Rattus norvegicus: one gene and its partners. The protein of the gene in region 1 interacts with the protein of each later gene in a pairwise test. Links are inferred from orthologs where the notes say so. Each region holds a gene or a part of one and is shown on either strand. Other genes may lie near its edges. The genes, in order: Exosc8, Slain1, Morn4, Otud4, Exosc10, Txndc17 and Dusp23.

What was found.
Region 2: the proteins of Exosc8 (region 1) and Slain1 interact in binary tests that used the Homo sapiens proteins (3 or more experiments, as listed by UniProt). The link is inferred for Rattus norvegicus from reciprocal best matches to the Homo sapiens genes EXOSC8 and SLAIN1.
Region 3: the proteins of Exosc8 (region 1) and Morn4 interact in binary tests that used the Homo sapiens proteins (3 or more experiments, as listed by UniProt). The two-hybrid records come from large-scale screens. The link is inferred for Rattus norvegicus from reciprocal best matches to the Homo sapiens genes EXOSC8 and MORN4.
Region 4: the proteins of Exosc8 (region 1) and Otud4 interact in binary tests that used the Homo sapiens proteins (3 or more experiments, as listed by UniProt). The two-hybrid records come from large-scale screens. The link is inferred for Rattus norvegicus from reciprocal best matches to the Homo sapiens genes EXOSC8 and OTUD4.
Region 5: the proteins of Exosc8 (region 1) and Exosc10 interact in binary tests that used the Homo sapiens proteins (3 or more experiments, as listed by UniProt). The link is inferred for Rattus norvegicus from reciprocal best matches to the Homo sapiens genes EXOSC8 and EXOSC10.
Region 6: the proteins of Exosc8 (region 1) and Txndc17 interact in binary tests that used the Homo sapiens proteins (3 or more experiments, as listed by UniProt). The two-hybrid records come from large-scale screens. The link is inferred for Rattus norvegicus from reciprocal best matches to the Homo sapiens genes EXOSC8 and TXNDC17.
Region 7: the proteins of Exosc8 (region 1) and Dusp23 interact in binary tests that used the Homo sapiens proteins (3 or more experiments, as listed by UniProt). The two-hybrid records come from large-scale screens. The link is inferred for Rattus norvegicus from reciprocal best matches to the Homo sapiens genes EXOSC8 and DUSP23.

What each region holds. Positions count from the first base shown.
Region 1 is NC_086020.1:141,084,298-141,088,466, reverse strand, and holds the start of Exosc8 (exosome complex component RRP43), read left to right. Parts: upstream 1-1,369; 5' UTR 1,370-1,393; coding exon 1,394-1,410; intron 1,411-2,076; coding exon 2,077-2,113; intron 2,114-2,221; coding exon 2,222-2,285; intron 2,286-2,617; coding exon 2,618-2,691; intron 2,692-3,635; coding exon 3,636-3,681; intron 3,682-4,169. Other genes in the region: Alg5 (dolichyl-phosphate beta-glucosyltransferase), read right to left, coding at 731-796. UniProt on the Homo sapiens protein: Non-catalytic component of the RNA exosome complex which has 3'->5' exoribonuclease activity and participates in a multitude of cellular RNA processing and degradation events.
Region 2 is NC_086033.1:86,952,976-86,956,475, forward strand, and holds part of Slain1 (SLAIN motif-containing protein 1), read left to right. Parts: intron 1-1,717; coding exon 1,718-2,003; intron 2,004-3,039; coding exon 3,040-3,115; 3' UTR 3,116-3,500. UniProt on the Homo sapiens protein: Microtubule plus-end tracking protein that might be involved in the regulation of cytoplasmic microtubule dynamics, microtubule organization and microtubule elongation.
Region 3 is NC_086019.1:250,845,144-250,849,419, forward strand, and holds the start of Morn4 (MORN repeat-containing protein 4), read right to left. Parts: upstream 2,801-4,276; 5' UTR 2,664-2,800; intron 1-2,663. UniProt on the Homo sapiens protein: Plays a role in promoting axonal degeneration following neuronal injury by toxic insult or trauma.
Region 4 is NC_086037.1:45,160,137-45,163,636, reverse strand, and holds part of Otud4 (OTU domain-containing protein 4), read left to right. Parts: intron 1-1,035; coding exon 1,036-1,090; intron 1,091-1,325; coding exon 1,326-1,443; intron 1,444-1,536; coding exon 1,537-1,601; intron 1,602-3,137; coding exon 3,138-3,232; intron 3,233-3,500.
Region 5 is NC_086023.1:164,277,163-164,281,239, reverse strand, and holds the start of Exosc10 (exosome complex component 10), read right to left. Parts: upstream 2,801-4,077; 5' UTR 2,762-2,800; coding exon 2,651-2,761; intron 1,656-2,650; coding exon 1,519-1,655; intron 443-1,518; coding exon 319-442; intron 1-318. UniProt on the Homo sapiens protein: Catalytic component of the RNA exosome complex which has 3'->5' exoribonuclease activity and participates in a multitude of cellular RNA processing and degradation events.
Region 6 is NC_086028.1:57,329,958-57,334,111, reverse strand, and holds the start of Txndc17 (thioredoxin domain-containing protein 17), read right to left. Parts: upstream 2,801-4,154; 5' UTR 2,726-2,800; coding exon 2,581-2,725; intron 2,100-2,580; coding exon 2,018-2,099; intron 1,619-2,017; coding exon 1,543-1,618; intron 875-1,542; coding exon 806-874; 3' UTR 1-805. Other genes in the region: uncharacterized protein LOC134480818, read left to right, coding at 3,497-4,154. UniProt on the Homo sapiens protein: Disulfide reductase. May participate in various redox reactions through the reversible oxidation of its active center dithiol to a disulfide and catalyze dithiol-disulfide exchange reactions. Modulates TNF-alpha signaling and NF-kappa-B activation.
Region 7 is NC_086031.1:87,629,745-87,633,573, reverse strand, and holds Dusp23 (dual specificity protein phosphatase 23), read left to right. Parts: upstream 1-1,173; 5' UTR 1,174-1,243; coding exon 1,244-1,510; intron 1,511-2,250; coding exon 2,251-2,436; 3' UTR 2,437-3,329; downstream 3,330-3,829. UniProt on the Homo sapiens protein: Protein phosphatase that mediates dephosphorylation of proteins phosphorylated on Tyr and Ser/Thr residues. In vitro, it can dephosphorylate p44-ERK1 (MAPK3) but not p54 SAPK-beta (MAPK10) in vitro. Able to enhance activation of JNK and p38 (MAPK14).

The DNA of each region.
Region 1 (4,169 bases):
ACCTGGACGTTGCCAACAAAGTTCTGATTTGTTCCAAGCCTTTAAAGAAGGTATTTTAGTAAAGGAGGGCGTTTGACTCACCCAGACACACAGCAACAGTCATCTGGCTACACCATTCCAAGACTGTGCGTGTACATAATATGGCAAAGTGGCAGAGGCCTTCCTGACCACCTGTCTAGCCATCTAGTCCCAATACAAGAAAGTTTTTCAAAATCAGCTTTCTGAGTTACAGGCTCCTTTTCAAACTATGTGGCAGAGTTCAGTTGGCAAGTAAGTCCTCTTCTACAAATCAACGGGGTGGGATCTGCTACGTTTCTATAGGAATGGCAAAGAAAACGCTAAGGTGCCTGATTCTGGAGAAACAAACAAACAAACAAACAACAGAAACAAAAACCAACAACTGGCCAAAATTAATAGAAAGGGATCTGGGCCTGTCTTTTGTTCACCCATAGTCTCTGTCTCTAGCCTTATAGATCTACTGCTCTCTTTCCAGTTGCAGTACGTACGGGAGGCCCAAGAATAAGGCTGGGGAGTGTGGTGGGATGTGACAGGCGGGGGTTCGGTGGCAGGAGCCCCGAGAAGCTGGGCAGAGGCTCTGGGCACCCAGATAAGGTTCCAAAGGGGGAAATAAAGGTTCAAGGATTTCAGGGAATCTGAGGCCAAGGGGGCCAAGCACGAGAGGGAAGCGCGGAGGGGACACCCGGAGCACGGGACTCCACCACGGTCTCACCAGAATGAGCGCGGCAGCCGCCAGCGCCACGCCGAGCCCCACCAGCTGCAGTAGCAGCGAAGCCATCCCGCAGCTCCACACTTGCGGAAGCGGCGTGCGGCGCAGCGCCCCGCCCCATCCCGACCCGCAGGAGAGGCCGGACTGGCCCGCGCCCGCCGCCCGCAGCGCCCCCGCGCGGCTCCGCTGAGGATTGCAGACCGGTCCCCGAGTGTGGGGAGGAAAGCACTAGATCTGTGCGAACTGACGAAGCTACGGGCCTCACCCACACGCCGCGCAGTGCTGCCATCTAAGGATGCCCGGCGCCGTGGAGTGTTTTAGAGTCACCCCTTTCCATTTCGCGCGTCTGCGTGTGTGTAAGGATGTTTGTGCACGAGCGCGCACGCCCGTGGGGACCCGGGCGTGGGACCCCGGGGGTTGGCGTTGCAGGCGGTTGTGAACAGTATCGACCCCGGCTCTTCCCCACAGGCCTGATTCTAACTAGGTACGAGCGGGACGCTCCGGGTGGCAGGAGCTGGTGTTGATGCCCCGTGCGCCGGAGAACAGCAGCCTCCGGCAGCACTTGTTTAACCCAGGATTCCAAACAGTGCTCTGGGCTGGAGCCACGCCTACCAAGGGGAGGGCGCAGGCGCAGAGGGCTGCGCAGGCGCAGTGCGAGCAGGAAAAATGGCGGCCGGGTTCAAGTGAGTGGTAGCGCGCGCAAAAGAGGCCCTGGTGCGGGTGTTGCGCGTGTTGGCGGACTGGGAATCCTGAGGGCTGCGGGAGGGCTCTGCCCATTGAGGCGCTGAGGGACAGCACATCCAGGACGACCCTGACCTCTTAACCGAGCGCAACGCCGCTCTCAACGCAGTGCCGCCTTCGGAAGGGACTGAAACCTTTGGGGGCGCTCTGATTAGACCCAAAGCTGCCCGCCCACTCGTGCAAACCTTAAACTCGTGTCTGCGAGTGCGTGCACTTATACCTGCTGTAACTTTTGGCCGCGTGTAGTTGATGTGGACAAACGGAGCTCCAGTAATTGTAAAAATACACTCTTCCGTGGTAAATTTGTAGACACTGGCAAATGCGGCTTACGGAGTGAAGTCACGCTAAGTTCCCCGCTTCAGAGCAAACGTGATGTGACTGACACCCAGGATAACCCTCTTCTAAGTGTGCCAAGGGCCTCCATTCCTTTTGGCACAGTTAAGGTCGCCGCTGAAAACTGGTTGCTACTATATGGCTTTTGTAAATATGGTTAACACAGTTTCAAAAGCCCGAACTTGTCGGGATTGGTGTCTCAACCACCACACTCTTAAATTCTGGGTTTACGCTTTAGGATGCACTGACTCAGACACATTTTAAACATGTTTCAGAACTGTGGAACCGCTGGAGTATTACAGGAGATTTCTGGTGAGTAGAGGTGATTTCGTACTTTAGAGCATGTGTTTTCTGCAGCCTAAGAAATATATTTATGTATTATATAATACATAAATAATCTGCTTCCTTATAAACATTTAGAAAGAAAACTGCCGTCCAGATGGAAGAGAACTTGGTGAATTCAGAACCACAACTGTCAACATAGGTGAGGATAAGCTTCATTTCAGTTGGGTGGGACAGCCCCCACCTTTATTTATCCTTGGTGCCAAATAGTTTCCCGCCAGCTCTGCTATGTCTAAGACATTTGGTGTTAAGAGATTTTTATCATCACACCAACCTTGTAGTTGATCCAAACGTTAGTTCAGATTTGGAGACAGAAGGGAAAAATTAAGAACGTTAAGTAGTAATACGGCCTGAACTTGTCGAGACAACTGAAAGATTTAAACTACTTTGTAGGAGGCTTTGTGCTTATTTTCTTCTTTTTTTTCTTTAATTCTTTTTTTTTTTCTTAAATAAATATGGTGTTTACCTTTCCAGGTTCGATCAGTACAGCGGATGGCTCTGCTCTAGTGAAGCTGGGGAACACCACAGTCATTTGTGGAGTTAAAGCAGTAGGTTTCCTGTATGGCTGTAAGCGTCGGAATTCCAAATTAGCCTCATGCTTAGGAGTGGCTCTTAATCGGGCTGATATTTAGAATGATATTCCATCAAGTTTGTTTTTTTAAACATGTGCGCATCATTAATTCTTTATAAGGCAAATAATCAAACCTGAATCCTCACTACTGCATACTGAAGATTTTGGCAATGTTGTTTTTGAAATTGAGATTGTTTTGTGATCCCATTTAGCCACTGATAGATTTTAATCGTCAGTCACACAGGAGTAGTGAGTGTCTGCTGACCTTTTTAGGTGTTCTACAGATTTACCAATCTCTGCCCCTACGTAGAAGGTAGGCAGAGTCTAATGACAAAAGCTGCGCTTTCTCATGTTACCCTGAGCAACTCTCCTCGTTTAGGTTTGTGGTTAAGCTGAAGTGATAAGGATCAGAGCTCATACTCTTTGCCAGGTTTCTATCTGAGACTTACTGGCACTGTCTCACTTGGGCGCCCCTGGGAGTAGGCAGGTACTGCTTATCTGTCCGTGTGTCAGCAGAGAAATATGAAAGATAAGTAACTCGCCCAGTCTCTCAGTCTGTTGTGTGGATCTGCAGGCACTGGGCTAGTTATTGCTATATTCCTCACTTCTGGCCACTACTAACTCCCTGGCCTGGTTGTGTATCACTTGGGGATTAAATTCAGATTTCAGCTGCTGAACAAGTCACAAAGAGTGGGCATAATCCCACCGATCCTGGTTGATGAGCAGCAGAGTTTGATTATACTGTCCTTTAACCCCCCTGGGAGCCATTGGGAAGGCAGTGCCAGCATCCTTAGGGCCCCTGCCAGATGCTCAACGTAATCTAACTGGCTGAAGTGGTCTTTGGTACAGCCTCTGTGAATGGCCAGAATATCATCGTGTTGAGTGGCTTCTCTCACTGGAATATATTATTTGCTTTTGTAGGAATTTGCAGCACCACCAGTAGATGCCCCTGATAGAGGATATGTCGGTGAGTTAAATAGTCTTAAAATTTTAACAAATAATCGAGTAAGTTGAAAGCTAACTTGTGATGAAATAGATAGCAGTTCCCAGTGCTCAGAAATAGAACGCCCCCACCCCTCACCCACAAAGCTTTGTGCTTATGAGAAGATAGCAGAGGGGACATCACATGAACTTCACTTCCAACCCTGTGTGGACAGTTTTTATTTACATACTCGGTTGCCCTAATTCAAGGAAGCATCATTGCAGATTAAAATCCTGCCTGCACTCTATTTAAAGTACTGGACAATATTTTTGGTCTTGGATTATCTTTTCCATAAAGTGGGAAGCAACATTTAAATCTTTAATAGTTGGATGTGAGCAGAGGACTTTCCTACTACAGACTGAGGTATCTGAGGGAAGAAACTCAAGAAACTATGAAGCCTGTGGTTGTTTTTAAGCACTGTGCAAAACATTAAGTGTAATATTTTCCTCTGAGCTTGGCAATCTGAGAAGACT
Region 2 (3,500 bases), on another chromosome or scaffold:
CAGTTATGACATTCATGCTGGAATACTGCAGTTACACCACAGCACGGAGGGCTCTCATACACAAAATATTGGGCAAAATGAAGCTCCACACAAAAAAAGGACATGGCTTGTGATTCCAGTGTAGGGATGGCCAGTGTGTGGTGACAGAGAGGAAACTTGTTCTCTTGGGAGATGTTCTCCCTGGTGGCTGGAGCATGGTGGTCTTGAGATGGGGAATACACAGACGTGTTCACTAAAGAAAGTCACCAGTTAAACCAGAAGCTAAGCCAGATTCACAGACTGCACTGTCTTTTAATTAACAGATTTCTTTTAATTTAAAAACAGTGAGCTAAAAAACTTTGGCACCAAGGCAAAAGCATGCCATAGTTGCTGTTAAGTTAGTGTTTTTGTCTTCAGGGAAAGGGGTACCAACTAAACGCTCCTGCCTGTTTACTACTGCAGACTACAAAATAATGTTCAGCATTGGTAAAATTTTAAGGATTCTTACTCAGATCACTCCCTTCGTTTTATAGATTTTGTCGCTGTTACAAGGGTCAGAGTGGTGCTTTTTAATTGAGTGGTTGCTGACGGTTTAAGCGCTAAGGCTTTAAGTAGATTAATTAGCTTCTCAAATAAACCCCGAGACAATATCACAGTGCATGCTACCTAAGGAATATGTTTGTGCCTACAGAGACTGTTCCTGACTTCCTGTCTGTAATTATAACCGTCAGATCATCCCCATGGTTTGTTTTCATTAGGCCATTGTTAGAAAAACCATCAAGAGATTCCGTGGGGGCTGGAGAGATGACTCAGTATTTGAGAGTACTTGCTGCTCTGGTAGAGGACTCCAGTTGAGTTCCCAGCATCCACATCAGGTGGCTTGCAACCATCTGATGCACACACACACACACACACACACACACACACACACACACACACACACACTGCATGCACATACACATGTACACATATGTAAGTAAAATAAGTAAATGAAAATAGATCTTAAAAGAAATTCTAATATCTTTTAAGGTAAAACAAATTTGTCTTGGACATAATTTGCCTCAGAACAATTCAGAGATTCTTAAATTTTAGAGTCGTCTTCTGAATATTCAGTGGCCTTTGAGCAACACAGATATGATCTGAGCAGGTCTGCTTATATCTCTACTGGTTTCTCTTGAGATTTGAAAAGTTTTATTTTGAAAAAACTTGTAGGTAAATCTTGCAACTTAGAAATCTCAAGGAAGTTGAGAAAAGAATATGTAATTAATACATAAAATAAAGATACTTGGTATGCTATTTTTATTATTTAATACCATACGTATATACAAATCTGTTATAATTTACGCTTGCACTTAGAGACCATCCATGTCCCCACTCATATGCCAGAGAAATATAAACACAAAGATACCGCATAAACCCTGATTATTTTAAGTATAATATGACAACGTTAATTGATAAGGCTTTGAGTCAAGGAGGGTACTGACTGAAGTTTGGGGAAGTCGTGAATTATAATCTGATTTTTGACCTTCATGCTGTTCATAGATCAACTGTATTCAGGCATAGGACTGCAGACAGACAGAATAGGAGAGCCCTGTTGGGGATTCTCTCCCACTGAAGGGTGCTTAGCACCCGTACATCACTTACCTCTTGCTTTCAGAAACATAGGCGCCTCTGAATGTAACACTTCTAATTGAAGGCAGTGCAAGTCCCTCACACTGACTTTATTTTTCCCCGGCAGTCCCGTCACCAGGACAGATTCAGCACAGAGTCCACAGCGTGGGGCATTTCCCAGTGCCCATCCGGCAGCCCCTGAAGGCCACAGCCTACGTCAGTCCGACTGTTCAGGGCAGCAGCAGCAGCATGCCTTTGTCCAATGGCACACAGTTATATTCCAACACCGGCATCCCTACCCCAAACAAAGCTGCGGCTTCCGGGATTATGGGCCGCAGCGCCCTTCCGCGACCTTCCTTGGCAATAAATGGGAGTAACCTGCCTCGAAGCAAGATTGCACAGCCTGTCAGGAGGTGAGAACTTCATCCCTGTGACTGTATCGCTGCTTGGAAATTTCTCCAGCTCACCCTCACTCTTCTCTGGCTCAGGTTAACCACAGGTCATTGTCCTTACGACACTCTCCGGGCCCCTCTTTCTCGGTCAGATGGTGGATGTCTCTGCGCAGTCAGATTCCGCTCTCTCTCCCTTCACTCTGATTCCTTGGCCCATCTGTGGAGCTCGCGCTCCACCCTGCCCCAGGTTACTTGTGTAGCAAATTTCCTCCCTCCTTCAGGTCTGCACACCTCCGCTCAAGGTTTGAAAACATCTTAGTTTTACTCAGCAGGAACCAGTTTGTATTGTAAGTTCCAGATGGCCCAAGCAAGCTTTTTTCTTGGCCTAAAAATGCCAAGTTCTGTATAGGGTACATTTTAGACAAAGGTAGTGGCGGTAATCCTGGCTTATTTTCCTTGCTAAATGCAGAGATGTGACATCTCATGGCTGAACAGAATTACATGACATATATGTGTCCATTATTGGGGCCCTCTATTTCTTGAAGGAGGAGGGTTGGATTTGTATCCCTAGAGAATATGAGAGGATCTTTTTTCTTCAAACTTGAGAAAAGTTTTTCGGGTTTTTTTCGAAATTAATTTTTGAAATACTGAAAATATTTCAAGATTACTTTTCAGTTCTTTGTTAGTATGGTAGAAACATTTATTTAAATAAATGCCAAGAATTTATGCATGTGTTCAATAAAGTCGGTTTATGTTTTTAGCTATTTTCCCCATTGAGGATCTTACCTTTTACTTTCTATCTTAAATTTGTTTTTGGCCGGGCGAAAATTACCTTGTGCGCATGCGTATGTGGCTCTGTGCTCTGGCCTCCGCTCCGGCAGATGGGCAGACACTATGAGAACCCCGAAGGATGTAACTTGATACACACTTGTGACAGTGACAACAGCTTGTCATTAGGGGATGAACCAGCCCTGATGGGAGAGGGAGGGGACCAGAGTGAGTGATGTCAGGGGCGGGATTACTAACAGCCCGTTTGCCTTCTTCGTCTCCTTAACAGTTTCCTGCAGCCCCCCAAGCCTCTATCTTCACTCAGCACACTGAGGGATGGAAATTGGAGAGACGGTTGCTACTGATGCAGTTTTATGGACCCTTGTAGAATGGGAAGAATCGAAAATGAGGGTGTGTTACCTAGCTGGCTGGGTAACCGTGGATGCTGGGATGCTCTCCCCTTCACCCTAACACGTGCGCACGGCATCGTTTTCAGTGGACCAATCACCAGAGACTAACGATCGCACTTACTCTCTGCCTGAAATACTGTGGCAACCCCAAACCCATGGCCACGGTATTGTTACCTTAGATCTAGGAAGTTTTTGTAGAACTGCTCTGTACCTGAATACTTTTTGAGAGAGATTGAGGCGTATCAATAATGCTTTGCCATATGGGGTTTTTAAAGTACCTTTGTTCATTTTACCTACGTGTTCTAAACACCTTTCCATTACGTGTTCTGCATTTTAATAC
Region 3 (4,276 bases), on another chromosome or scaffold:
ATTCCAATTTTGGGGGGCATTGGGGAGAAGGTTTGAGACAGGGTTTCTCCGTGTAGTCTTGGCTGTCCTGGAACTCGCTCTATAGATCAAGCTGGCCTCAAACTCACAGATATCTGCCTGCCTCTGCCTCCCGAGTGCTAGGATCAAAGGCGTGCACTAGCACCGTATGCCACCACCGCCCTGCATCCTCACTTGTCAGTCATCTTAGCTCTGACAGGAGCAGTCGTTAGTGAAGGAGCTGTCAGTCAAATGGTTCCAGTTCCCAGTCAGACACTGACCCACTCACCGGAGAATCTATGGAATAAACAGAAGCCATCTCCATGATGTCAGGTCTAGAGTCCTGACTTAGGATCTGGGAGTATCGTGGGGTGGTTTTAAGCTGCTAAGGGCTGGGTTAATTCATTGTTTAGTGGTAATAAGCAGAGTACCACCTGCCAACCTACCCCGACACCATTCCGTGCTGGTTTTCAAGAGTATATATTACAAATTTCCATTCCTTTTCAATCTAGAAAGATACAGTAAATTCAGCAGTGGTTTCTTAAAACCATGAACAGTTTCAAGACTCAAATCAGAAGTGCTAATTAAAAGGAACATATGTAGAACTCAGGGGTCTCGGGCTATGGCTGAATACATTTGTCTAGGAACTGCAACATGTGTCCAAACAGGTGATACTGTCACATCCTGGGAATTTCACCAGTAACCAAGATTATCCATAGTTACTGAGGCAAATATAGATTAATAAAGTGTATCCAGTACTAATGCAAATGGGAAACCCAATACTTTAATAAGGAACACAGATCGACGTCTATAATACTTGCTTAAATAATCCTGTTGGAGAAAATTGATGCCCTAGGCTTCAGATCTATACCTGGAATCCAGTCACAAACCAACACGATCCACATTCCCACAGAGGCCCTTTCTGTGCTTGTGACAGACAAGCTGCAAATGATCAGATGGAAACGTAACCTAAAATTACCATTTTTTTTTTGTCCCTGTAATCCACTGTTCTGGGACTGTTGGAAAGAGACTATATCTTTTGCTCTCTTACTTTTTTTCTTCAGTGGATGGCTCCAAACAGAACTCGAAGACAGTGATAAGAAATTGTTTTCATTTTTTAGAAGTGCTTTGAGTTTATGTGTCTCTGTGTGAACTTGCATGAATGTTTGTATGCTATGTGTGTACAAGAGCCTGTGGAGGCCTGAGAGGCCTTTAGATTCCCTGGAACTGGAGTTACAGGTGGGTGCTAAGAACTGAATCCTGGCCCTCTGCAGGAGCAGTAAACACTATTGCCATGCCTCCCCCACCTTTTCTCCTTCTCCCTGTCTCTCTCTCTCTCATAAAACCAAGCTAACTAAAGAACATTTATGCATTTGCAGCAACTTTTGTCTAAATCAAGACGTTTTTGTTTGTTATTTGAAGGAGGATTATGTAGTCCTTGGTTGTCCTGGAACTCACTATGTAGACCAGGCTGGCCTTGAACTCAAGAAGATCCACCTGCCTCTGTCTCCTGAGGCTCCACCATGTATGTCCAGCTTAAATTAAGAAGTTTTAAAACAAAATAACAACAATTCTTCCCTCCCCAACCTGAGAATAATCATATCCCAGTTAGAGACCTTTTGTTTGGAAGCAGACACCCTAACTATCCACACCATCTCCGAACTGTTCCCAAAGCCACTTCCTTGGGTAGGCAAGCTAACAAAAAATTCTTTTAGTTACAAAGGAAGCAACCATAAGTTTTTAGAGTCCTAAGAGGGGAAAATGAAAGCTCTGATGAGCAAAGATTAGGAAACTGGAAATACTGTTTAATAAAACGTGTTTTTAAATGAATATGAAATAATTAGGGTTTTAACTTTAAAATTATAATCTCCTTCCTATCTGGAAAGTAAGCATTGGCACTGTTATGATAAGCAGGTTTTATTTTTAGGGAGAATGTGGGATGGTTAGATTGAAGAAGATGAAAAGAGAACACTGGTACCAAGAAGAAGGTTTTTAAAAAGACAATGACACAAGAGTGATAGGCTCGGGGTTGGGGATTTAGCTCAGCGGTAGAGCACTTGCCTAGCGAGCGCAAGGCCCTGGGTTCGGTCCCCAGCTCCGAAAAAAAGAAAAAAAAAAAAAAAAAAAGAGTGATAGGCTCTCCGGAGTAATATTGTCACAACACTATTCTATCTATGCTAAGGGAAGGGACAGTGTCTGGGCCGGGCTCTAATATAGTGAAGTTACTCTGGTTGGGTCCTAAGTAGTTCGTGGATGCTGAATTACAGAAATGACAACCCATTCCCCAAGCCTCAGTAAGTGGGACATCTCCCTACCTGTGGCACAGACGCGCCCTAGATTAAACAAAACCCCAGACTTCGACACGCAACCCAGTCTTCCACTGCATTTTTCATTTCAGCCCGGTTCTGTCCTTTTTTTTGGGGGGGGGGGTGTCGGCTCCCACTCCACAGGCTCTTCAAGCTCCCACAGATCTGGCATTCCCTGCAGACACAGCCCGGCACACCCCTCTTGATAACCAGTGTCCTGTGTTCTCCAGGGCTACGACCTCTGGATCGAAACTCCAAACCCAATTTTGGGATCCCACTGGTAGCCACCTTCTTGTCAGTACAGCCAGGACAGAGGCTCCTTCCCCAGCCCAGTCACCTGCTTGCCGCCTCAGTCCTTACCTGGTGGACCGCACTCCCAAGTCCTCTTCCCACCCGCGCCGCAGGCCAACCTGAGCTCGGCTTCTCGAAGACGACTGTTACGCCCCGACTTGACGCGGGGCTCCAGCAGCTAGGATCTTTGCTGCTCCGGGCTCCCCACTGCCACTTTCCCCTCTGCCCCGCCACCCGCCTCAGCCCCACTGGACGCCGCCATCCCTTACGGCCGCACTGGGCACAATTCCCGCTGTTCATTGGCTGTTACCTAGGCAACCGCGAGCAACGCCACTCCCCATTGGTCCAGCCCTCTTTCGTGCCATCTTTGTGAGGGGCCCAGTGTTTTGGGAGTCTGGGCCAAAGATCTGAAAAAGGGGTGGGGCTGAGCCTGCTGTCCAATCTCATTAACCCCAACCGAAAAGAAGGACTCAGGTTTCACGTCTTCAGACACCTCCAGGCAGAGACTTTAATCCTAGATAAGGTCGAACGTGTGTTCAAAGTGGCTACATTTCAAAAGGTTGTGATTTTTAGATTCATAAACAACTCCACCGCTAAGTATGAAGAGAAAACCTAAACCCAGATTTAGAAGCTCAGCTTTATAATTAATGATGCGCTGCACATTTCCATTCATAGGGACTCTCTGTGTTCCACATCTTTTGTATTTAAAACCTAGTGCCACTATTGGAGCAAATCTTCCCAAATACTGTTCCCGGATGTCCGTGTAGCCATATGTTTGTTTAGTGAAGTGCATGCGGGAGAAGCAAGTTCTTCAGGGCTTGGAAAAGCCCTGGTCGTTGATGCGTCTCTCATGGGACTCATGACACGAGTGAGGCGTTGAAAGACAAAGCAAACTGGTTCAAATTGCTTTTTGGATTAGGATTCCTTCAGCCGCAGGTTAGAAAGTAATAATGATGAAAGTGATAGAGGGCTTTACAGGACTTGTGTGAGAACACAACGCCAAAGGGACGGTAGTTTTGCTTTGTTTTTTAAAGATTTGATTTCTGTGCTCAAATCCTATCTTTTGCTACTTACGAATTGTGTGTGTTTTGAGTAACTTAGTAAGCTCTCTAGCCTGTAAAATGAGATCGGACAATACATTCAATGTGGTACTAATTACTCACTTGGTAATGTAAGCTAAACTGTGGAATTGATTGTAGATTAAAGTGCAGTCACTGAGAAATGGATTGGAAAGAAAGGGATCTTCTTAGAACTCGTGCTAGGAAATAATAAGGAAAAAATGAGATTAAATCACAGATTGTGCGGGACCAAATTATGGGAAGACTTATAAATTAGCACAAGAGTTTGCAAACTGTAGTTTCTTTGATGGCTTGAAACTGTAGTTTCAGCAAGATGGCTTGTTAGGTCAGAGCAAATTACCTTGTCTCGTCGGGACACAGCATCCAACATCATAGGAGTTTTAATGGCAGTTAATGGAGCTAATCCATGTAAGATACTTAAAACAATGCCCAGTGCAGACTTAGCACTGGGTAAGTGCTCTCCCAGCACATGTGTATTAGGACACACGCTTACCTAAGGGGGAAATATAGTTCCAAGGGGTAAACACAGAAATAAAGTTTGAGGGGAAAACTCAGAATCCCAGGGAGAACTCAGAATCTTGGATCTTTCCTTGCCCATATTTT
Region 4 (3,500 bases), on another chromosome or scaffold:
TGTCACATCACAGTTTTAACAGAGGACAAACACTGTATATGACTTTGTCAAGGGTAGATCAGGTTAGTGTAGTGATTAGGAGGGAAGATGTGTACTATGTTCTTGGATTATCTTCACATTCATATTGGTGGGTTTTGAAGTATACTTGGAATGATGAGTGTTTTTTTTTTTTTTCTCAGTCTAGACTCCAAGTTCTTGCTCTCTTTAGTGTATATTTGGAGGTTAGTTTGAAACATAGAGGTGGATTTCTTAAAGAGGAATTGTAGGATAAATCCTCTAGGAGCTAAGTAGAACTTCATTCATCTTGAGTCTCATCAGCCTTTTGGCCACCATATGGTCTTCTTGTTCTAACTTTGCTTGGAATACTGGATCTGAGGTACTGTCTTGTTACCTTTCTCTTATTCAGAGGCACCTCAGCGAGGCCTTCCCACCGCTTTATGCTGCTGTGCCTGCTCCCTCTTCTTTTCATAGGACTTTGTTCTTACTGAGTTGGTTACCCAGCTAGTTTGCCTTTACCTCACTAGATTCTACGGCAGTTTTGTCTCACTGCTTAGACCCGAGCAGCCTACTAATACGCAGTGTGCAGCACATAGCAGGCACCGTATTTGTAGCATCGATGATTGAAAAGTGGGTGGTGATGGCTTTTGACTGATTGTACTGAAGATTAGGAAGTGTTTTTTACAAAAAGGTTGGTTATGACTTGACATTTTTACAATTGGGGTATTTGGCTTTTTTATTGTAAATGTTATAATTTGATTGTACCAGTTTTTTTTAAAAGCTTTGTAATACTTATTAAATTTTAGGTTGAGTCTTTTGTAAATTGTTACTTCATCCATTCAAATACTGCAACCTGCCACCACCATTTCTGTTTTTTGTTTACTAAGTCAGTAAGAATTACTAGTATTAAGTCTGATATGTATATGTAACATTGTAAAACTTGAGTTTATTGCAGCCTCATGTTTTTGGCATGTAATTGTAGTTAAGTTTAAAACATGCAAATTTTCATTTTCTAATTATGGTTCTGTTCCTTTATAGGAGTAAAAGCACTGCTGCTACTGATGTGAATGGATTTAAGTCCTCAGGCAGTGAGGTATTTTTAATTTAATACTTTTAACTTTTATATGTAAAGAAACTATGATTTTTTTTTTTTTTTTTTTTTTTTTGGGATCGTCATTTCTAATAGTAAGGGTTGCTTTGCTGGTATGAAGTTGATTTGCCACTTCCTGCTTTATTTTTAAGTTTTTTTTTGTTTTGCTTTTATGCATATTTGAAACTGTTTTAAAAGCATTTTTGTGTTAATTGGACTTCTGACATTGTTTATTTAGAACCCTAAGAACCATGGGAACTCAGCTGACCTTCCTTTGTCCAGAAAGGTTCTTAAGTCCCTCAGCCCAGCAGTCTATAGAAATGTGGAGTATGAAATTTGGTTGAAGTCTAAGCAAGGTGAGTTAAACTAAGTCTTCTGTAAAATTGCCTTGTAGCACTTTAATAATGAAATTCACAATATGTTTTAATGAACTGTTTTTAAACTAACAGCTCAACAAAAACGTGATTATTCCATTGCTGCTGGCTTACAATATGAAGGAGGAGAGAGATGCCATGTAAGTGATATCTACCAAATGAGAGTGTGACTTGAATTGACTCTTACTTTCTGATACTCTCCAAAGGAATAGCTAACTAAAGTTTGACTGTAGTTATAACTTGGATTTCAGAATTCATTTATCCTAAATACATTATAAATATATTTTACTCTAAATACATACAAGTAAAATGTAGAATAATCTTAATGTTGAAATTCATACATTTGTAAAGCCACAGTTTTGATGTTACTTGTTTTTGAGACAGTGTCTCACTTTTTAGTCCTGGCTGGCTGGAATTATATAGACCAGACTGGCCGGGAAGTTAGACAGATCCGCCTGCCTCTGCCTCCTGAATTCTGGGCCTTTGTCCCTTTTATTTGAATATAGTTTACTTGAAATCTTAAGCAACTGGAATGATACACAGATGACTTGTTTACTCAAGTATGTAGGATATACTTTATAGTTTTTGGTAGGAATAGCTGTATAAAAAAAGGCCAGTGAGGCTGGATATGGTGGTGTATACCTTTAATCTCAGCACTTGGGGAGATAGGCAAGTGGGTTTTTGTGAGTTCATGGCCAGTCTGGTCTACATAGTTCCAGGACTATACAGTGAGACACTGTCTCAAAAACAGCAAAACAGAAAATGGCTGGCAAGATACTCAGCAGAATCCTTTTGCTCTTTCAGGGAATCTTGAGTTGGTTCCTAGCACTCATGTCAGGAAGCTTACAACTGTGTTCCAGCTCCCAGGGATTTGGTGCCCTCTTCTGGCATCTGCTACTCCACAGGTGGCAGAAGAAACATTTAAGACATTACCCTTTAAAAATCTTTTTTGAAAGTGGTTAATGAGGAATGAAATTTCTGCTCAGGACTCTGCTAACGCTTGGAAAAAGGGAGTCTGTGTAGAGCAGAGCTGTGTTTACTGTGCTATCTTACCTGTTGGCAGCCATTGGCCAGTGCACAGGGTTATTGTGTGCGGTTTGCCTAGAAGAAACTTCAAGACATCCATGTCCACACTATTCAGTTAGCTATTATTATTAATGGGGTTGGTAAGAAACAGCAGAAGCATCCCTTTTTAAGGAGCAAAAGTTACATTACACCTTTTTAGTATAAAAACAAAGATGATAGTAATAATAGTTCACTCATCTGTAAAGTGGCTGCTCTGTGGACTGCTGTCCCCTGTATGATGTATATCTCCATTGCATCTCCAGTAACTTCCTCTTACATTATTTTCTGTGTTAGCTCCAATTTGTGTGTGAGCAAACAAGGTAAGTGAATTGTCCAAGGTTGTTGCTAGCAGTAGACAAGCCAGGCTTGGAGGCCAGGAGGGGTTGACAGCCGCTGGTGTATGTGTTCCTTACAGTTCGGTGGGTTCTGCTCCTGCTTCTTGACATATTTATAACAGTAAATTTGACAAAAGAAACAGTCTTTTAGGTAGAGAGGTATGGTGCCTTAGGGATACAGATTCTATTGAAGCTCTTGTACTCATTTTTTGTTTTTTTTTCTGATAAATGTTTACATTAACCAGGTGTCTGATGTCTCTCTCTGGTGTTCAGCAGGTTAGATTGGATCATAATGGGAAGTTATCTAATGCAGACATTCATGGGGTTCACTCTGAGAATGGACCGGTTTTGTCTGAAGAACTGGGGAAAAAGTATGTATTCTTTTAGTTAAGGTGTTTGTTACCTCTTAGATTTAACCTCTTACAAATGTGAATACTTCTAAATGCCTATGTATTAAGAAATTCAATAAAAGACATCCTGTATATAAAAGTTTAATTGGTTAGACGTTAGAAAAATCATGAGGGGTTGTGGAATTGCCTTGCAAAGGAACTGATAGATCCATCCATCTATTTTGCTTTTGTTTTTGTTTTTTTTTGAGAACAGGTTTCTTTGTGTAGCTCTGACTGTCCTGGTATTCTA
Region 5 (4,077 bases), on another chromosome or scaffold:
ACTGGTCTCCACGGACACCGGCATTCATGGCACGTGCCTATACATACAATTCCATCCATCTATCTATCTATCTATCTATCTATCTATCTATCTATCTATCCACCAACCCATCCATCTATTGGAGAGGTCTTGCTGTGTAGAACAGGCTGGCCTGGAACTCAGAGACCCGCCTGCTTTTGCTTCCCTAGTGCGAGGCACAGGTACGGCCATTAGGACTGGCTACATTTATTTCACTTTCCATAGAGCTGGGGTTTCTCCTTCCACTGATATCTGAGCCTTCTATCTGAGAGCTTACTTCTGTGGATGGGAGGCACTCACCACTCTCTCCAATATCACGTCGTTGGTGTCGACGAGTAAATCGAACTTGTCCTCCAACTCAGTGACTTTGCTTCGGTCTTTGATGTTGCTGCGACACCCATGGTACTGCATCACCCGACTCATGCTAAGGAATCGAGGAAAACCAAGGTCAGCACGTGCACCTTTGTTCTACCAACCTACAGTCTGAGAAAACTCCTCAAATGGCTTGGATCACAGGGTTCCCGGCACCCTGGATAAAATTAACCCAATGTACATCTTCACAACAACCTTTAAACACAGGACCCCAAGCCAGGCCTGATGGTGTAGGCTTGTGACACCGGCTTCCTAGAAGGCTCAGGCCACAGTGAGTTTGAAGACACCTGTGTAATTTGGTGAGTTAGGCCTATTCTCAGCAAAATAACTTCACGGTGATCTCCCCCAACAATTATCAGATGAGAAATGTGTAGCCTTGGCTGCTCTACTCACTATACAGACCACACCAGCCTTAACTCAGAGATCTACCTGCCTCTGTCTCCCTAAGGCTGGGATTAAAGGTATGAGCCACCACACGCAGCAAAAGACTTTTGACATAAACAGATATTGTGTGTGTGTGAGTTCCCCCGCCCATGTGTTAAGGCCAGAGGATAGTCTGCAGGAGTGAGCTCTTTCTCCATCCGAGAGTCTCAGGGGTTGAACTCAGGCTGTCAGGCTTGGCATTAGATGCCTTTTACCCACGGAATCATCTTGTCGGCCCTCTTATTTTTCTTTTTTTTCTTTTCTTTTTTTCGGAGCTGGGAACCGAACCCAGGGCCTTGTGCTTGCTAGGCAAGCGCTCTGCCACTGAGCTAAATCCCCAACCCCCTATTTTTAAAGATCATAGATCATGCTGGCTGTGATGGCTGACATTTTCATTTTAGCACTCAGGGGAAGTGAGTTCAGAGGAAGGTTGATCTCTAAGATTTCAAGGCTAGCTTGGTCTACATAGCAAGTTCCAGGCTAGTCCGGGCTCCACACTGAGCCGCTATTCTTCCCCAACAGCCACAGACCACACAATTATCCTATGTCCCTCTGGTTAATGGCATTTAGGCAGCGTTTCTTTGGTGATGGCTAGTACTGGAGTTCAGACTCAGGAACCCAATCACGTTCATTATCTCCCGACAACTGAGGTATGCCACTCTCAGGACAATCTTTTATTTCTTTCAATCAACGTAATAAACTCACCACTGAAGCAACCTGTCTCCTTGTGTCTCACAAAATGCCTGGAAGGCAGGAAAACTTCGGTAAAAGTCATACTCGTCACCGACCTGTGGCAGGCCCCCAGATGCCTTGGTAACGGCCACTACCGACCCAAGTGCAAACTGAAAATCAGAGAAAAAGATGCATCTTACACACGGATTCCTGTTTACTCAGGAATAAAAAACCCACAAGATTTTAAAGCTATATATCCCAGGGAGCTGGAGAGACCGATCAGCGTTAAGAGTGCTTAGCACTTCTTGTACAGGACCTGGGTTAGGCTGGGCTCAAACATACAGAGATCCACCTGCCTCTGCCTCCCAAGGGCTGGATTTGTGTACCACCACCCGACTCAGGTGACCATTTTATAACCAGTGGTTTAGGTAGACTGTTGTGAGGCAGGTAATGAATGGGAAACAATCACAAGTGGCTGTCATTGATAAAGAGTGGGTGCTTATTTTAAGGCAGTGGCTCTCAACCCTTGGGTCCCATTTCAGATACCCTGCCTGTTTACATTACAATTCATAACGGTAGCAAAATTAGTTACGAATTAGCAAAGAAAAAATATATTTTAACCAAGAGGATCGCGATTTATTTTAAAGTTAATGTCTACATAGACTGCCACAGCAAGGCCATCAATGAAAATAATCTCATGGTTGGGGATCCCAGCGTAAGGGAGGTGTTAACGTCTCATGACAGCATCGTGAATTTTGTGAACAAAGAATTTAAATAAAAACTCTATCTTCCTTCTCAAGAGGTACTGGTGAGTGCGCTTTGGCATTTAGAGAGGGGCTCGATGGTCGCTGTGACATTCAACCCAAGAGATTGGGGCAATAGACGTTTGTGCATCAGCGGGGTGAGCAATGGGCGGGAGAGTCGCTCAGCTGTTGGGCTCCTCAGGAGAGGTAGCGCAGGGTGCGCCACGTGGATGACGGACGCCCTTCCGAAGGCGCGGACACAGCTTTCTACGCGAAGCCGCTCGCGCTCACACCGGAAGCGCGGAGCCCTTCGCTGCCGTTCTCCGTGCGCGCCGTCAGGCCGCCGTGACAGGCGCCAGAAGCCCGCAGCCCCAGACCCGCTTCCGGCTAAAACAGCGGTGCCCCAGAGCCCGCGAACTGACCTTTACGAAGCTGTCTGCATCCGGGAAGCCAGGCAGTACCATCTCCGCGTCAGGCTTGGTCGCACCGGTCGCTGGCGCGGACTGATGCTCCCGGGGACTGGGAGGCGCCATTTTTCCGTCCTAGGGCGGCTCTTCTCGCGAGATTGTTCCGGCGGACCGGAGAAGAGCGTAACGCGCATGCGCGCGGCTCAATACCACTACCCCGCCCCACACCAAGTAAGTAGTGTAACTTGTTACACGACTTGGCCAACGATGGGGAGATTTAGGCTTTTCTTTAATTTTACGTTGTATCCTAACAAACCTGTGGGCTAGGGTGAGGACTGGAGGGAGGATACAATTGAAATTACATTTAAAGCTAGATCTTCACCCCGGACCCGCCTGCATCCAGCCTCCCAAGTGCTGGGGTTAAAGGCGTGCAAAACCGTTTACTCAAGGATTGGATTTTTCCCAGTTTGTTTAAAATATTGGGAAAGGGAGAGAAGAGAGGCTTTGAAGCAGTTAAGAACACTTGCTGGGCTGGAGAGATGGCTCAGTGGTTAAGAGCACCCGACTACTCTTCCAGAGGTCCTGAGTTCAATTCCTAGCAACCACATGGTGGCTCACAACCATCTGTAAAGAGATCCGATGCTCTCTTCTGGTGTATCTGAAGACAGCTACAGTATACTTATATATAATAAATGAATAAAAAAAAAAAAAAAAGAACACTTGCTGTTTTTTGAGGATCCCAGCACATATACAGCAGAGACCTGCTGGGTCTGGGTTCAAAAGAAGATACAGCTAACCTTCAAGAGACTGGAGGCCCCAGGGAGTTTAGAGGTTGGGTGGGGTGGGGACAGCCTCGTGGTCGGGGGATTGGGTGGAAGTAGGTTTGGGATATGGAACAGTCGGAGGGTGGACTGGGAGGGAAATAAAATCTGGAGTGTAAAAAAAACCCACCACCACCACCAACAACAACAAAAAGGACAGGGTTTTTCTGTGTAGTCCAGAATCTCAAGAGATCCTTGTTTGCCTGTTTCTGTCTTGGCCTGTCTAGTGATGGAATGTAATGGTGTAGGTTCCTGTCCCCATTAGTCAGTGGCTTACCACTGAGTTTAAGCCAAAGCCCAATAAGAGAATTTGCAAAATAATGAACAGAAAGCCATACACATAAATACTTTTAAAATTCTGATGTCATTTATTGGCACAAAAATTACTCAGATACAATGGTGTCTAGATGTGGCTTCACTTATACTTTGTGTTTAGTTGGATATTTACTTTGCTCTTAATTCACAACCTGCGCTAGTGTCCCTCTGAGATCAGCACTTCCACAAAAGCATTTGTGTTCTGAGTCCCTGCTGCAAACACAACATATCCATCCCTCACTGAACACAGCAGCAGGGCCAGCGTGGACCCTGCACTGAGATCCTGGCACACCTGCTCATCCTCGG
Region 6 (4,154 bases), on another chromosome or scaffold:
TAAGCACTGAACCACCTCTTCAGTCCACATTCTTGTAGAGCAATAGTTGGGCTTTTCATTTGTGACAAGGCCTGGTTCAGTAGTGTACCCCTTGCCTCAAACTTGTGATCCTCTTGCCTTATTATCTAAAGTAATAAGATTACAGGTGTGTGTCTATGCCTGACACAATTTTTGTTAGAAGAAATTGACATTTAGATAGTGCTTTGCCTGTGACTAGCCTGTTTCACACCAAGAGAATCACATTTTAGACATTTGGGAAACAAAATTGCCTGAATTAAGCATATGAATTCTATGACTCTCCTCCTAAATGGTTTAATGAAGGTCTCCATTTCAAAGACAGGAAAGGGTTTTGCAAATACACAGAATTTAAGGTAATAAATACCAATTGCTACAGATTTGGAAGTTAATAAGTTAATTTTATCTTCAATATTTCCTTTGAGCTACTACTACCATACTGAAGACCCATTTTACTCAAATCTTTTAGATAGCCATGTGTTAAAAACTAGTTAGAGGTTTATATTTTAATTCTTTATTGTTTAGACATACACTGATTTACTCATTTACTCATCAAAGAAATTATGTGGCTTCTTTTAAAGGAACCAGACAGACAATATAAAATTGCAATCATTAGGCTTTTTGGTTTTTTTCCAGACAGGGTTTTGCTGTGCTGCCCCTGCTGTCCAGGAACTCAATTTGTAGACCAGGCTGGCCTCAAACTCAAAGAGATCCAGCTGCTCTGTCTCTACCTCTGCCTCTGCTGGGACTAAAGGCATGCGCCACCACAGTCTGGCAAGGTCATCAAATCTTAATCTTCAGAGAAGATCATCTCTACGAGGTTGGATTGGCGGCACTCAGACTCCACAAGTTTTTGAGGCTGTAAAAAGAATGGTTAAGTTTTCACTGCTGCTATGAATATTACTAGGGGTGGAATGAATTCTACTTTGAATGACAAATTTTGAACACAGAAATTATGCCATCAGAAACTATCAGCTAGTTATAACAAGTTTTATTAAATAGTTAGGATACTTGTCTCAAGATGAATCATTAAAACACTTGGCCCGAAAGGCCTTAAATTTCCACACCAGGAAGCCCCATAGGCTGGAAACAAGAGATAGCATGCCCAGTGCCATCTCTTTCCCTCCACACTTTAAAACACCTCAGATTCTAATATCTGCATTATTAATAGTTCACCGGATTAGCAGAGGATGGACACCAACTTGTGTGTTTTTGATGCACTCTAAACAACAATGTAACAACAAATTGTTGGAACTCAAACTTGACTTTAAAGCAACTTGAGTTTTAACTGCATTATAGCTACAGCATAAAAGTAGATACTTGGGCTGGAGAGATGGCTCAGCGGTTAAGAGCACCCGACTGCTCTTCCAGAGGTTATGAGTTCAATTCCCAGCAACCACATGGTGGCTCACAACCATCTGTAAAGAGATCCGATGCCCTCTTCTGGTGTATCTGAAGACAGCTACAGTGTGTACTTATATATAATAAATAAATAAATCTTTAAAAAAAAAAAAAGTAGATACTTACTGTTCCATATTTAAGTAGTGTAGGCACTGCAGTGATTTTCAGTTTTTGTCTGAAGTCATTATTTGGGTCTTTCCAGCTGTTCCAAAAGGAAAAAGATAATGAAAAATACTACTTGGTTTATTACAGTTTACTCAACAGTTGGCCTATATATATTAGCAACCATTACTTTTGTTAACATTTTAGCATTTTGAGAACTGTAACTTATGTGTCACTTTCTGCAAAATTTAAAGTGTGGCTAAGATAAAACATATATGTAAAGTCAATTGAGTTCTGAACTTATTCTAGACCAAATTCATTGATGATGATATGTGGCTGAACATAAACGGTAAATATGAATTCAATAATTCCAATTGTTTGGCTTATTAGACAATACCTAAAACACAGAGCCTGACCAATTATCTGAGGTCCTTTCTAGCCAACTTTTTAATAATCTAGTTCTTGTCTGGAGCTACGGTATAGATGATTGGTCACTTACTAAGGTTTGTCTCCTACTTGGCAGTAGATGAACACACAGTCTTCAGTGACATGCTTCAGCCCCTCTCGAATGATTGGCTCAGCTTTTTAAAAAAGTTAAAAAGTAATTATACAACAACTGCGATAACTGCGATAGCCCAAGCCCTCCCCTCTCTCCAGTCTTAGACTTTAACCCGTTGTAAGATAGGTTGTTAAAGTCGGTGTCCTTTGGGCTCATGAATCACTTAAGTCCTAGTCCTGATTGTCTTTAAGACACACGCAGACAATCAGCATACATATTGCTAACGGGAAGATTAGCTCGTGAGTCTGGTCTTTCTTATGAGACACTAATCGTTTGGGGAACTGAGAATTTAAAGAACCAGGTTCCAAGATCTGAGTCCATGATAAAAATGAGGGTCATCCTTGGGTGGAGCTAGTAAGGACCTAACTAGAGACAGGGTACAGCTCAGACGCTTCCGTGGATCTGCAGAACCAAAATCCTCATCTCATCCCACTTTCTGACTTCAGTAAGGGGACCTCTTCCCACCACTTCTGTGGTGAAGCAACCTCTAGTCCCAGTCTCACCTTCCACGCAGTCCGGACACCAGCTCTTCCCTTCAGTATCCTTAGAACCACTGAAGAAGGCGAAAATGGTCTTGCCCTGATGCTCCTTCACTGCCTTGTCGAACTCTTCGAAGCCCAGCACGCTCACCTCCTCGAAGGTGGCCATGAGTACAACAGTCCAGAGAGGAATGCAGGAGGTGCCTTAGGGTCCTGCCGCCTCAAGGCGGGGCCCAAGTAAGGCGTGGTCAAGTTTCCGGGTGGGCGGTGCTGTGCTACGGGAGCCTCAGATGGCCATAACTCTCTAGGGCCGTCTTTTTGGTCTGCTGGAGTTTCTTTTTGGCGCCAGTTTCCTTCAGACATCTAGACGCCTGACCTGGTCTAGTCCCTACCCTGGCTTTATGGACAATGACCGCAAAACCGGTCGCGGTACAACACCTTGATCCTCAAATGGCTCAGGAAGCTCAACTGCTCCCAAACAGCCGCGCGCCTGTTGCCATGGCGACTGGGCGAGAGGCCGGAAGCGAGGCCTAGCTTGAGGTGGCCTTACGGTCTCGGTGGCCGCGCCTCGCCCAAACCAGGTGGGCTCGGGTCAGAGCTGGGGGAATTCTGGGAAGCTGCATTTGGCAGAGAGACAGTGAGAGAGACCTCGCCTGGGCTTGCCTTGCAGCTCCGCCCCTTCTGTTACCTTTCCATTTGTCAGACTTTAGGGGGGCCGAGGCTGGGGGCGGCGTCCGGGATTGGGCGGGGGTTTGGAGAGAGCTGGGAGGCAGAAAGGCAGAGAGGACAGAATCCGAGTGTTGTGAGTGCATGTGAGGGGCACGCTGTCTAGGGGAACAGGTGCAAAGACAGGTTGCATTGGGGAAAGGAATTGTCCAGGAGCTGCGAGTCCTGTACGGGGCTCTTGACCGGGCTACGTGGGTGTACTCTGGCAGCGAAGATGCCGGCTCGTTGCGTGAGGGCCGGCAGGTTGCGGCGGGGTGTTCCGCCTCCGTGGGCGAGGAGGTGGGGTGCAGGGATGTCCCGAGGCTATGGAGTAAGGCGCCGGGTGAGGTCTTCAGTGCGGCGGATGCTCTGTGCAAACATAGGGAGGGTGCAGAATGGTCGGCGGCCTTTACAGAGGACTGTGGAGCCTGCAGTATCCCCGGGGGTGAAAAAGGCCGTTGGGACATCTGGGACTGCAGGCTCGATTGAGGCAGCAGTGGACCCTAGGACAGTGTGGGTGAATGGGACTGTGGGCGAGCCCGAGGTGGTTGGGCCTGCTGGGTCTGTGTGGGTGACTGTATCTGGGAAGGAGGAGCTAGACAATAGGAGCTCACCGAGCTGTGAGAGAAAAGGTCGTCCAGGAACACTTGGCCATGAGAGCATCCTGGAACTGTGGTTGAAGGTGCAGGCTATGAGGGTAGCTTCAGGATGCTGGGAAGGAAGCAGAGTGGAACTTCATCCTGTTCCTGCGGGAGAGGGGCCAGTCGAGAAGGGTATTCCTGGGCGAGCTTCCTGGGTAGAGACCAGCCGAGATGGTGTTACAGGACCATGGGTGAGAGGACATACTAGGACATTCCCCCGGACCTCAGGACTGCCCACAGCTAGGGGAATAG
Region 7 (3,829 bases), on another chromosome or scaffold:
CCTAATGACCAGCGGCAACAAAAGGAGGGTAGGACTTCTTCACACCACGTGTTGTAGGCTTAGGTGAGTATGTTCCTGACCATAGGAACCAACTTCTTTAAACTCCTGGTTAAAAAAGTGCCCAGGGTTTTAAACTCCACAATGTGTGGAAGAGTGTGAAGATGGCTGTGTGAAAAGAATATCATTTCCTGGTTGACTGCAGGGAAGTGTGCTATTAAAAGGGGGGAGGGATGTGGAGCAAACAGATCAGCAGTTAAAAGCACTGGCTGCTCTTCCAGAGGTCCTGAGTTCAATTCTCAGCAACTCCATGGTGGCTCCCAACCATCTGTAATGGGATATGATACAGCTGTCTGAAGACAGCTACGCAGTACTCATATACATGAGATAAATAAATCTTTTAAAAAGGGAGAGATAGATTCTGGAGAACGGTATCTTGCTTAGCTTCCTCAGTGACTAAAATGGGGTTACTGTGATCATCTATCTTATGTCAATTAACATTTATAAAAAGTGCTCCCACGAGCACCTAACACAAAGCAAATGCTCAAATATTGTTAACTCTTATGTTGTTGATTGTAATTACTACTTTACCGTGAGTACCATTTCCGGTGCCACATGTTCTCCTCCCTTTAACAGTCCCAGCAATAAGAAAATGAAATTTCCTATTGTCTAGGACATAGTAGTTCCCTCTTATTACAAGAACTCAAGAAGACACCAACTGTGACTGCTTGGTCAGAGAAGAGATTACCCACTCACACCCGCGCCCAGGCAGAAGTAGATCTGTCTACTACTATTTAAACCCTAGTGCAAAAACTGTGAAGAGGAGACCAGGCCCTTACGCTCCTGGCCCACCATGCAGTAACTCCAACGCACCACCAGGGCGCAGCAGAGCCCAGCCCTGGGCTGTTTTCTCTACAGGAGCAATTAATTTGTTCCAGGTTTCCTTAGTGTATTTGCTCCCGGCTGCAATAATCACGCTTGTTGTCGATTACCCAGCCTATCAACGAGTGCCCTGCTCCGCATCCGTTGGGCTGTAGGGCTTCTCTGCAAGCCCTAAGAGCCCTCTTAGCCCCGCCCCCGCTGTTCAGCCAACCCTGGGTGAGGAGGAACGTCACGGGGGCGGGTCCGAGAGACTACGTGAACCGCTAGGACAAGTGCTGAGCAGGGGCGGAACCCAGCCCCAGCGGGTGACCCGATCGCAGGGCGTAGGAAAGGCCAGCCTCGCTCCGGGTACCCTCCCCCCACGATGGGCGTGCAGCCCCCCAACTTCTCCTGGGTGCTCCCGGGACGGCTGGCCGGGCTGGCGTTACCGCGGCTACCCGCGCACTACCAGTTCCTGCTGGACCTGGGCGTGCGACACTTGGTGTCCCTGACGGAGCGCGGGCCCCCTCACAGTGACAGCTGTCCCGGCCTCACGCTGCACCGACTGCGCATCCCCGACTTTTGCCCGCCGGCCCCCGAACAGATCGACCAATTTGTGAAGATCGTGGACGAGGCCAATGCCCGGGGAGAGGTCAGAGCGTTCGTGAGCTCAAGCGAGAGGGCGGGGCCTGGAAGGAATGAGTGGGCGGGGTCGGGAGCTGGAGTCCGAAAGGAGTGGGGGAGGGTGGGGTGGGAGCTAGAGGGACCCATCCCCCTGACTAGAGTCAACTATGCTGCTAGGAGAGGAGGTGGTGCCAAGTAACTAAATTAAGTACTGTCAAGCGAAATACTTCCAGGAGTCGGGAGAGCGCTGAAGTCAGATGGAAGCGGTTCAAAACCCATTTACTAGAGGTCCATATGTCATACAGAAACGCTTGTAATTTTAAATTTTACTAGCAGCTACGTTTAAAAAAAAATGTGAAAAAGAAGCAGGTGACGTTAATTTTGTACTAATCCAGTAAGTCAAAAATACTATTTCAACATAGAATCAATATGAAACAAATTATTAATGAGGCCTTTCCAGTCTTGCTCATGCCGCATCTTCAGAGCCTGGTAAGTATTTTCCACCTCATCTCAGCATCAGGAAAAGTGGCACCACAAGTGACTGGATGTACTGTACAGGACAGCACAGGTTAGAGGCCAGGAGGTACAGGCTGAGAGCCCAACTTGGAATCAGCCATTTCAGAGGCCTCCTGGTCACCAGAAGCAAGGACAGCCCGCCACAGCTTTAATGTCACTTCTTGTCCCGCGAGGGCCTGTGATGTGTGGGGCGGGGACAGGAGAGTGTCTGGAAGGGCATTGGACTCCACTCTATCGGTCTCCACTTCACAGGCTGTTGGAGTGCACTGTGCTCTAGGCTTTGGCCGCACTGGAACCATGCTGGCCTGCTACCTGGTGAAGGAGCAGGGTTTGGCCGCAGGAGAAGCCATTGCTGAGATTCGGCGCCTGCGACCAGGATCCATCGAGACGTATGAACAAGAGAAGGCCGTCTTCCAGTTCTACCAGCGAACAAAATGAGGGGTTCGGTAGCCCCCTTCCCCCTCCCCGACTCCTGCTGCTTATAGCAAGTGTGGCGGGCTGGAAGGGAAAAGGACTAAAAAAGTACTACCTCCTTCAGCGCCCTCTGGCTCCTATTGGACAAAAGAGGCCCAACCCCAAAGCCATAAAATCCTGGCTGGCAGGATGGCCCATGAAAATGAAGTGGTAACTAATAAGAGCTCATTACCACTGCATAGCGTTTACACAGCACTCCAGCGCATAAGCTTCCTGTAGCCTGTGCTGTGGACAAGACGAAGGACACTTCTGTTCTTTGGATGAGGTGGCTAGACTTCAGAAAGGCCTACGGTCAACAGTTCTAGGAAACAAAAGGATGGAGACCTTTTGTCTCCTCAAAGAGGATGGGATTCTAGGTGCTGTTCCCTGACCGGATGTGATAGAGGAGAACTGGTCAGCGAAAGAGATCCCTCAGGGCAGCCTCGGGGCTCTGCACACCCACACTGGCAGTACCCTGTTGATATCACCCTTTACGTAGGGTCCTCTGTCCTACCTGAGTCACCTCTGTTCCTCTCAGGGTACAGAAGACCTGCATATCCTGCTCACAGATGAAGTCTCTATATTGTCTGTCTGTCTCTCCCTCCTCCCTCCCCCCTCTTCCCATCCCCCTCCCCCTCTCTCCTTCTTCCCTCTTTCTCTCCTTTTCCTCCCCTCCTCCCTCCTTCTCCCCCTTCCCCTCTCCTTCCCCCCTTCTCTCCAGGCTGGTCACCTCTTACCAGCCTCAGATGTGTTCAGCTCACCTGTTACCTCAGATCCCTATGTCATCCCCAGCCTCAGACCAAGGAATGCTGGGACTGCATCTTGGCAGTTACAGGGTGGATATTAAGTAATCAAATAAATAACTCTGGGACTATGAATCTTGGTCTTGTTTCCTAGATGTTATCCTCACTTCTCCCCTGCTGGACTCCGTCCTGCCATGAACACCACACTTTGGACTTTCTGAGAGATGAGATAAATGCCGTACTTGAGCCTAGTGGATTATTTTTTCCATGCTGGCAGTCTGAACTCGTGCCCTATCCTCTGCCATAGCAGGCTGAACCGAATACGGGAGAATTCACCCTGAGGTATATGCTGTGTGCCTGTGTGAACCAGGTGCTGTTAGACATGGAGCCAACTCAGCAGCGTAAGCCAAGACTCCTGTTCTCAGAGGCCCTGCCTCCTGGAGAAGAAGGGGAATGACAGTCCCTTCACATGTGACACACACTAAAGGCTCTCTCTACTATTCCAGACACAGGACAGTCAAGTTCCCTACAACCTCCATCTCATATCAAAGCCCAGAGCCAGGCCTATACCAGCCCCTCCCCCTGCACTTCATTCAGTCTTCCCTGCTGCCCCTAACTCAATATTGTCCAACTCA